Linked DNA regions of Schizosaccharomyces pombe. The protein of the gene in region 1 interacts with the protein of each later gene in a pairwise test. Each region holds a gene or a part of one and is shown on either strand. Other genes may lie near its edges.

Evidence for each region.
Region 2: the proteins of cyp1 (region 1) and prp45 interact in a two-hybrid assay, tested with the Schizosaccharomyces pombe proteins (2 studies listed by BioGRID).

Annotation. Positions count from the first base shown.
Region 1 is NC_003424.3:1,364,860-1,371,524, forward strand, and holds cyp1 (cyclophilin family peptidyl-prolyl cis-trans isomerase Cyp1), read left to right. Parts: upstream 1-3,300; 5' UTR 3,301-3,351; coding exon 3,352-3,381; exon of another isoform or gene 3,382-3,421; coding exon 3,422-3,463; exon of another isoform or gene 3,464-3,528; coding exon 3,529-3,582; intron 3,583-3,652; exon of another isoform or gene 3,653-3,786; coding exon 3,787-3,866; exon of another isoform or gene 3,867-3,948; coding exon 3,949-4,045; exon of another isoform or gene 4,046-4,085; coding exon 4,086-4,250; 3' UTR 4,251-4,715; downstream 4,716-6,665. Other genes in the region: serine/threonine protein kinase Cdr2, read left to right, coding at 1-2,314; mug10 (Rho guanine nucleotide exchange factor), read left to right, coding at 5,320-5,535, 5,599-6,417.
Region 2 is NC_003421.2:1,500,937-1,505,164, forward strand, and holds prp45 (Prp19 complex subunit Prp45), read left to right. Parts: upstream 1-1,706; 5' UTR 1,707-1,755; coding exon 1,756-1,784; exon of another isoform or gene 1,785-1,827; coding exon 1,828-3,379; intron 3,380-3,427; coding exon 3,428-3,520; 3' UTR 3,521-3,728; downstream 3,729-4,228. Other genes in the region: SPOM_SPCC188.14 (uncharacterized protein), read right to left, coding at 35-274; septin Spn6, read left to right, coding at 4,005-4,063, 4,126-4,228. UniProt on the Schizosaccharomyces pombe protein: Involved in pre-mRNA splicing.

The DNA.
Region 1 (6,665 bases):
AGAAGTTGGACCTTGGGAGCTTGGTCTTTCCTTAGGATCAGGAGGACCAAATTCATCACGTTTAGCCAAACATCGTGAAACTGGGCAATTAGCCGTAGTAAAACCGATTGTAGGATGGTCCGAGCTTACTTCGAGCCAACAGGCTAGGATAGAGGGTGAATTAGTTTTGCTTCGATTGATCGAGCATCCTAATGTTTTGCAGCTCATAGATGTGATTTCAGCCCAGGAGCAACTCTTTGTCGTAGTCGAATATATGCCAGGTGGTGAGCTTTTTGACTGCATGCTTCGTAAAGGAAGTTTTACTGAGCAAGATACGGCAAAGTTTCTATGGCAGATTTTGTGTGGATTGGAGTATTGTCATAAACTTCATATCTGCCACCGGGATTTAAAGCCAGAGAACTTATACTTGGATGCCCATGGTTCTATCAAAATCGGTGAATTCGGTATGGCGTCTATTCAACAGCCAGGAAAGCTTTTGCAGACTTCCTGCGGGTCTCCCCATTACGCATCCCCAGAAATTATTATGGGGCGTTCATATGATGGTTGTGCTAGCGATATTTGGTCATGTGGAATTATATTTTTTGCTTTGTTAACAGGGAAATTACCGTTTGATGATGACAACATTCGTTCTTTGTTGCTAAAAGTCTGTCAGGGTCAATTTGAAATGCCATCAAATATCTCTCCTCAAGCCCAACATCTGTTGTACCGCATGCTTGATGTTGATTCATCTACTCGAATTACCATGGAACAAATTCGTGAACACCCGTTTCTTAGTTGCTTTGTTCATCCCAATATTTCTATTCCAATCATATCAGCCCCTATACAACCCATTGATCCATTAATAGTGCAGCATCTCTCTTTAGTTTTCAGATGTTCCGATGATCCTATGCCCTTGTATGAAAAATTGGCATCTCAATCACCCTTGGTTGAAAAAACTCTATATACTCTACTGAGCAGACACTTGCATCCGCCTTCCAGCGCTGCAGTTGATCGCAACCGCGCTGTGGTCGATGATCTCCTTGGTACAGCAGCATCCAACGGGCAGCAAATGGACGAGGAAGAAATTGAACAAGCTATCAATATTCCTACTTTAGCGCCTTATCCAATTTCTTATGCTGCAGAGTCTGTTCCTCGACCTGCTACTTCTGCATCGCCATTTCTTACACCTGTTACCACTTCTGGCACTTTTAATTACTCTTTTAATGCTACCAACCCCCAATCCATACTTCAACGACCAGCCACTACATCTTCTGCTGTTCCTCAACTCCCAAAATCAGTTACCCCAGGACTTGCATATCCCCACGATAGTTCAATGCTGTCATCAAATTACCGACCTCCTTCTGCATTATCTCCTCGCAACTTTAACGTTTCTATAAACGATCCGGAAGTTCAACTAAGTCGTCGCGCTACTTCACTGGATATGTCAAATGATTTTCGTATGAATGAGAATGACCCTAGTATTGTTGGTAATTTAGCAGCTTCCAATTTCCCGACAGGTATGGGACCTCCAAGAAAGCGTGTCACTTCTAGAATGTCCGAACACACTGGTAATCGAGTCGTAAGCTTCCCGCGCGGCAGTGCTTTTAATCCAAGAGTTACTCGCTTCAACGTAGGAAATGAACAATTCTCTAATAATATTGATAATAATAACTATAATCAACCATACGCAAATGCAACCATGAACAACTCTCGTCGTCTTCGTACCCCTAGTGGGGAGAGATCAATGCGTGCTGATCTCTCTCAATCACCAGCCTCTTATGATTCGTTGAATGTTCCCAAACATAGAAGAAGACAATCGTTATTCTCTCCTTCTTCTACAAAGAAAAAGCTTTCCGGCTCACCTTTTCAACCAAAACGATCATTTTTAAGGAGATTATTTAGTAGTGAGCCTTCTTGTAAATGCGTCTATGCCAGCTTGGTTGCTTCAGAATTGGAACATGAAATTTTAGAAGTTCTTAGAAGATGGCAGCTTCTTGGTATCGGCATTGCTGATATTATATATGATTCTGTGAGTGCTTCGATATCTGCTCGTATTAAACGACAAAATTCACTTAATCTTAAACCGGTTCGGTTTAGAATATCGGTACTGGCTGAGTTTTTTGGTTCACAAGCTGTCTTTGTGTTGGAAAGCGGTTCTTCTACAACTTTTGACCATTTGGCTACAGAATTCCAGCTGATTTTTGAAGATAAGGGGTTTTTGGATAATTTGGAACTCTCTTATTTTCAAGCTTCGGCATCCAGACCTGTTTCTCGAATGAGTGTAAGTAGTAGTCCTTTTGCTGTATTTCGTCAACGACAATCCGTCCAAAGTTAAATTCTTTTATTATTATTATTATCATTTTTTTTTGATTCTCCAAAACCTTTGCAAACTTCATTTTTCTCGTGATGCTTTGGAAAAAAAAGGATTATCAAAAAAGCTAATCGTTTGATAATTGAACATAATGTATACTCGTGGAAGTATTGGAACTTTTTGAATTAAGCTTTCATTTTGTCCCATATTGGAACTCTTTTTATACACCAACAATATCTTTATAGACCTCCATTCTTTTTCTGATGTTTTTCTTTTACTTGTTCAACTTGCTATATGGAACCACGGTTATCCGGGAAGCAATAAATGCATTTAATGATTAAATTATATTTTGCTGCTCTGCTACAATGTTTCTCTTGGAACCTGTTGAGTTTTGTACATGTGATGTTGTACTTGGAACTTACTCCAATGATAATAACTTGCATGTCTGAAGCAAGGTAATTTTTGTATTTAGTATGACCGGCTATTGCTGGCATCTTTTTTGAAATACATTTTTCTTATTTAATTTAGGTATAAAATTTTTTATCTTAATCAATCTTTTCTTTTGGCTTTCTAACTCTTCGTTCTAAATCACAATCTTTTTAGTCTCGTTTATTTCAATCGATTTGACTTTTTCTTCATCTTATTTATCACAATCAACTAGCACTAGCGGATACAATTTCAATGAACTGCAGCATAGGTCGTATTATGTTTAGAAATTTATGACCCTTCTGCTTGTTCTGTATAAATTAAATTTATTCCAATTAAGTATTTGGTCGCTCAATGCTAATTAGTATGATATTAAATTTGAGTGGAATTCAATATGTAACCTGCTTACTTCGATAGTTGAAGAAATACATTTGAAGTTGTAGGATATCTAGGTTATCTGCATTGTACAAAGAGTCTGTTTTTTTGGAATGAAGTACGTGACATATTATTAAGCACTTTTAAAATTGTCTGTGCAATTGCCTTTTCAGTATTTTTAGCGAGGTTGCAACTTCAACTTATTACTTGAACAAGCAGCGAAAAACTGCAAGAAAATCGTGTAAAAACTAGTAAATACCATGGCTAATGTAGAGTTACAAACAAGTTTGGTAAGATCTTTTCCAAGCTCAAGCATTTAACATTTTTTAGGGAAAAATTCTTATTGAATTGTATACAGAACATGCTCCTAAAGTACGCATCAAGAATAAAGGACGAACAGTGTTGTTTGCTTTGAAAGTAGAATCGCTAACTTATAGACATGTCAAAATTTCTATACTTTAGCAAAAGAAGGATACTATGATGGTGTTATTGTAAGTTTTTTTCGCACTGTTTGCATCGTGCAAATAAGCATGTTGAAATATGAGTCTACAATTTAATATTTCAAGTGTGTTATTTTATTGATTTAACTGTTCACATTTACATGATGGACTCAGTCAGTCATATAAATATGTGTCCTATAATTCATTCAATATCGTATTTGATTTAATTCGTGAAATTGGTACTAATTAAATTAGTTTCACAGAGTTATTCCAGACTTTGTAATTCAAGGAGGGGATCCCACAGGTACAGGTCGAGGTGGAACTTCTATATATGGGTAGGCAAAGCTTTATAAATCGGCATTCACCGATTGTTTGCATCTTTATTACGAAGTTTTCACATTCTTATTAATTGATTAGGGATAAATTTGACGATGAGATTCATTCCGATTTACATCACACTGGAGCTGGCATTTTATCAATGGCCAATGCTGGACCTAACACAAATTCATCACAGGTATGATGACTTTGTTTACACTAACTTTAACCATCTTCAGTTTTTTATCACTCTAGCACCTACTCCTTGGTTAGACGGAAAACATACAATTTTTGGTCGTGTTGTTAGCGGGCTTTCTGTGTGCAAGCGTATGGGTCTTATCCGAACGGATTCATCTGACCGCCCAATTGAACCTTTAAAAATCATTAAAGCTGTTGCACTTTAAATTATTCTTTAAAGGATATTCAAAGGTTTTAATCTATAAGTCTTTTTTCGATTTTTCAACACATCCTGAAGATATTGACTAAAGTTATTTGTCACGGATATTAAAAGCTAAATTAATAGTTGATAAAGAGAAGCATTTCCTTACAAAAGGTGGACTTTTTAATTGAAGTCAAATTTTACAAGTCAAGTGGAATAACATAAGCTTCTAAGAAGGAATTAACTAGTTTTCTAGCTTAAGAAATTGGAGATGGATTTTGTTACGCATATCAACCTAGTTGTTTGACCATAAACGATTGAACAAAAACCTTTTACAACGTTAGCATTGCTTCCGGTACTTTTCTCCTTATCAAAAATTTTACAATTGTATTTTTTTCTTAATTAGAAGATTAAAGCTCGGGCCAAATATACAACTACAAGAGTTTATTGGACTAGATTACTCAAATACTATTGCTTCAGTTTTTTTGTTACAACGTGGGATGTTATTTTAAAAAAAATTCAGAATCAAAATAAAGTCCAATGCATAAAAACGGCATGAATCCTTCTCTTTTTTATTTAATTCTTCTTTTAATTGTTTACGCCAATTTGTGTGATCCATAATTAGCAAATTATTTTACGTGTTTTAACGTATTACGTTATAATTGTAATTAAGCAAATAAATGATATTTGTCAATTGAAGGTTCGAATGTAGTGGTCACGGAATACTCACAAGCATGATAATAATGTTTTTTAAGGTCCTAATATATCTAATTGACCTTTCACAGCTAGACATATCAACATATGACCAAAACTTAGCTTCATTCCTCAAGCGGGAAACATTCATTAACTGAAATTGTCCATGAGAAAGACTTTTTCTATTGAAAGATAAGTTTGAAAAGGCTACAAACTTTAAATACTTTTAATAAAGTAATTTTATTAACTAACTATTCCTTTGCTTACTTATAGATTTAAGATACTAAGCCACAGTTACGCAAAATTGGATAATGAACTTTAGTGACATAGGTTTTACACTGAGTAGTTGACTTTGGAGCGTGTTATTTACATGCAATTTCCTAACACGTTTCGCCTGGAGCATGGCACTTTTAAAAACGATGCCAATCATAAGGTCTCTAACGCGTGGAAAATCGATTAGATTACTTCAAAAACAATCAACGAAAAGAACTAATCCGTGCGTCTATTTAGAAGCAAAAGCTGTTGAACAAACACCGGCTACTGAGTTTAACAGTATACTTCAGGAAATAATTTCGACAGAATACAATTACTCTGTTGATTTAAAGAAAACATTAAATGTAACGATTACTATAGCAAATATTATGCTCGTGTTTACTAGTTTGTGATTACTTACATTTTAGGAAATTATAATGCCAATCGAAGGCCAAAGTATGGAAAGGGAGGCGATTGGAATTTGCACGTGCTTTAAGACTTTAAATCAGTTACACACGAAGTTATATCAACAAATGATTTCCAGTGGCTCTCCAGTATATTCATTGTCGCAATCTTTACCCGCTTTTCGTGATGTTTACCACATGTATACCATCAATTTAAGTGGAATATCTGCCATTGAAAAAATAATTTCTGATCCTTCTTCGTGCAACAGTCAGCTTTTAATTCCATTGCAACACTTGTTGAGATATCCTATACATTTAGCACGTGTTTGTAAAATGTTACGGAAATATCCATTTTTGAATGGAGATTTTCGGATGGCGGTCAAAACACTTGACGATTTTCGAGAGTTATGTTCTTATATAGACCAAGAAAAAGCCCGCGAGGAAAGTTATCAAGTACTTAGTGCACTGTGTGGAAACCAGGGTGTTGCGGTGGACATTCCAAGGCATATAAAATTTAAAGGGTCAGTTATTCCAGCTACTTCATTTATTTATGATTTTAATGCCTGCGTCTTTTGCGACGATGGATTGGTTGTTTGGACGAGGTATGTTAAAAAAATCGAAATGAAGGCCGTTTCGATAGAACAATGTCTTCGAGTAGATGAACTTTCAAACTCTATTTTAGTTTGTACTTTAAATATGAAGGGGAAGCTTTTAAACCGTCATTTGGCACCTCAAACTATGGCTGCTTCTGTTTTTCTTAAGTGGTATCATGAAAGAGCTGGTATCTCAAATGGCAAAGAAAATAAATTAAACCGATTGAAAGTTGTCAATGCTAAAACATAAACTAATTTCTTTCTTTTTCTTTTTTTAATATTAAACGATATTTTTTTTCTATTATTCACTCGTTACCTAAAATTTGCTGAACATAATGACAAATATGTTAAACCAAAATTTATTGTCAACTTACTTCTTCATTCTTGTTATCCTTGTCTTACCAACTTTGAAAGATATTTTCCTCAATTAAAAATTTACTTCTCACCTTCGTTACCTTAATATGGGCATTATTATTAACCAAATAGTTTAAATAATAT
Region 2 (4,228 bases), on another chromosome or scaffold:
GCTCTCTATATGACAACTTTAACCGTGAGAGCAGTCAAAGTACGTTTCTTCTACGAGTGTTTCTTATTGAAAGTATAAAGTATTCTGGGTAAACAGCAAACTGTGGGATGAATAACCAGCATCGTGAAAGTGGCCAGTTTGGGGAGTTTTTCATAAACTTAGCGTATATGCCGGTAACCATGTTATAAACAGGCACATTACTTGACGGGAAATCGTTCCACGAGTCCCCAAGTGAAAGAAATGTAAATATAATAAGCGAAATTGTCGTGGGCATCAGTACTATACAAAAGTTGAGGTTTTAGCTCAGACAACTTTTTACCTACTAAACCAAACCTGGTTATGAGCAACAGACCCTTATTATAACATTAGCAATCAACAACAAAAATTTTTATAGTATTGATTTTTGATATCTTGCGTTCGTTCCGCTTTATCGGAAAGACTTTGGCAATTTTACCGATTCTCTAGAATCATGTAAAGTGACGAAAACAGAAGGCAGAAAGTCCAACCAAATATGGGCAAAAAAAACAACCACTTCAATAAATTGTTCCAGTTAACAGCAGTTTAGTTGTGTTCAAGTCAATTACCAGCGTTTCGCGTGAAACGTTACAGAAGTGTAAATAATGAAATACTGTTGCTTTCTCTTTGACTCTCATTCTTACACAAGGTCACTTTGCATAGTAGACCGTTGAAAAAGTAAAAAGGAATAGAGGAGAAAACAAGATTTGATTAATTTTTAACCACACCCAACGTATCCGCAAAATCTCATTGATTCAGTAACATTGACTATATGGTTCTTTCGGTAAGTTTGACTCGTTATTAAATAAAAAAAATAGAGGCAAATTGTTTGAATTATGTTTGCTATCAAATGATATCCATTGAGTTAAAAAGTACGCGATTTGATAGTCTCATGAAGACACACATAAAGAGAGAAAAATCCATCAACTCCACTTAAATTTAAAAAAAGGTGAGGTACATATAGAAACTTTAGTACAATTCGTATTGATCGCCTAAATCAATATTTTTGAAGTATTGAAAGTTCAAACATGCCTTACAGCTCATTTCTCATTACTTTGTAAGGTAGCTGGCTAATGACAACTATATATAGGCATTGAGCCATAAGTATGCTAACTTTCACTATTCATCGCTTGGCAAATCTTTTTCTTTATTAAATGTATCTCCTATAAACGTGGCACTACTTTTTTGAAAGTTATAAAGCACGTTGGGAGCTAATTTCAACTTTATAAACTTCGCAAAAAGTGAAAGAAAACACAAAGGTATAGATAGTTACAAGCCGCATTGCTAAGTTGATCTGATAATTCTTAACATCTAACGTAATCGAGTGTGTCGGAATAGTATTTATGAAAACTGTGAGATATCCCACTGAAAATGATTTATGTTGTCAAAAGCATCGTTAATACACTTAAGAATTACGCATTTCCTCGTGTGCCTTATTCGCAATAATTCTACTGTGTTGCTCACACTAATGCTAACAAGTACGGAATCCTAACTTAGGTGACCTAGCGTAATACTAGCTTCATTTACCAGTTGTTGTAATGCGTGCATTGATTTTCTTTCATACATTCTTGCAAGTAAATTTCCAAGTAATTTGAGGATTTATTTATTAAATTATTTCTCAAAGCTGCGAGAGCTTTTGGATTCATTCGAACAGAATTCATATGTCCATTATATCCATACAACTCGTACTCAACACCACTTCACACATCTGAGTGGAAAGTTGTTTATTATTTTCCAAAAATGGCCCTTTTATCCGAAGAACTTTCTAGGTAAACTTATATTTTTTTCTCAAATTCACTAACAACGCCGCAGTATACTTCCAAATCCTGATTTCGACGATGAAGAGGAAGATTATGTGGAGAGGGAAACATCACATGCAGATGAAAGACAAATTGGTGTCAAATTTCACATTCCTCCCTATGGACAAAGAAAGGGATGGTTTCCTTCTTCACCTGAAGACTTTGGCGATGGTGGAGCTTTTCCCGAAATCCATGTAGCACAATATCCTTTGGATATGGGCAGAAAAAGGTCAGCTAAATCTGCTGGTAATACATTGGCTCTACAGGTCACTTCTTCGGGCGCTGTTGACTATAATGCCATTGCTCGACAAGGTCACGAACATGGAGAGTTGGTACAGGCAAGCTTTCGAGATTTGATCCCCTTACGTGCACGACTAGGTGTGGGAGAAATTTCGTTAGAGAAACCGTCTGACGAGCAAAAGCAAGAAGTAGCGAATAAAACTAAGCTTGCCTTACAAAAAATACTTTCCAAACAAATCGCTCAGTCTCAACCTAAAAGTGCTGTGGTACAACAACGTGACGATCCTGTATACATTCGATATACTCCTAGCAATCAAATGGGACAAGCACTTAGCAAACAGAGGATTATCAAAATGGTCACAGCTGAACAGGATCCCATGGAACCACCAAAATTCCGTCACAAAAAGGTTCCTCGTGGACCACCTTCTCCTCCTCCTCCCGTCTTGCATTCTCCTCCACGAAAAGTTTCTGCTCAAGAACAACAAGATTGGCAAATACCTCCGAGTATTTCTAATTGGAAAAATCCGAAAGGCTACACTATTCCATTGGATAAGCGGCTGGCCGCTGATGGTCGTGGTCTTAATGATGTTGAAATCAACGATGGATTTGCCAAATTTTCTGAAGCATTGTACACGGTGGAGCGTCAAGCTCGTGAAGAGGTCCGATATCGTGCCATAATGCGCCAAAAGATGGCTGAAAAGGAAAAGCAGGAAAAGGAGCAACGTTTATTTATGCTTGCTCAAAAAGCAAGGGAAGATCGTATGGGTAGAAATGCGGCTTCTTCGGGTCCTTCACATGCAAAACCCCGCTCTACTTCTGTCTCCTCTGAAGAAAGAAGTCGTTCCAGAGCTGGATCGTTCTCGCATCATTCAGAGTCAGAAAATGAAGATGAGGATTCAGAAGCTTTTCGCCGTCGTCAAGAACTTCGCCGCGAGCGAAGACGCCAAGCTGAAAAGGATCTTCGTCTCAGTCGAATGGGTGCTGAAAAACGTGCTAAGCTTGCTGAAAAAGATCGACCTCGTGATGTCGCTGAAAGGGTTGCTTTAGGACTTTCAAAACCATCAATGTCAAGCGATACAATGATCGATAGTAGATTATTTAATCAGGCTTCTGGCTTAGGATCCGGATTTCAAGACGAAGACAGTTACAATGTGTATGATAAACCGTGGCGGGCGGCACCTTCATCAACGTTATATAGACCGGGTGCTACTTTGTCCCGTCAAGTTGATGCATCTGCAGAATTGGAACGTATTACTAGTGAAAGTCGTTATGATGTACTAGGAAATGCGCATAAAAAGTTCAAAGGATCGGATGAAGTCGTAGAGGTATGTTTCAATATCTTATACTTTTACTTAAATACTAACTTTTCTTAGTCTCGTGCTGGCCCCGTCACTTTCGAGAAAGATATTGCTGATCCTTTTGGTGTAGATACTTTTTTGAATAATGTTTCTTCAAAGAAAACTTAATTCTATTCGATCCTTGACACTGTCAAAGAAAATGTACATTATTGTATGGTTTTATTCATTGGAATATGACTGTCTTAAAAATAAAAAAAAGTACAATTTACGTTTTGTGTTTTTTTTGGATCAAGGCAGTTAATTCAACAGAAGTTCATATTTAGTCTTAAAAATTAATGTTTATTCTTCTAATGATTAAAGAGCTAGTAAATTTGAGCATCGTTTTTATTTGTATTCTTGTTTCAACTCTGGTAAACCAGGATTATGAAAGTATTTTGGTACAAGATGTGAAAAAGAATTAAAAGTCTTCTATGTAGATAATTTAATTTGTATATTTAAAAATTTTTGATGAGGCATATTTATTTATTTATCTGTGCTTTTTATCACTGGACATTCGGTTGTTTGTTTATATTTCGCTGATAAACGCTGTTTGAAACAAACCTGAACCTACTAAAGAGCAAAATACAGATAGTTCGAGAAATAAATTTTTACGATGTCTTTGACTGAAAACCTTCAATTATTATTAAATTTGGATAGTCTACCATCCAAAAGGTATGTTATCGTTACAATCTAGTCATAAATTCATAAATCATTCATTAACAAATATACCACAGAGAAAATTTAATAAAAAGAAAAGAATGTGGTTTAACAATCATGCTTTGCGGAGCCTCAGGTACTGGAAAAACAACGTTCTTCAATACTCTTTTTGCTACTTCT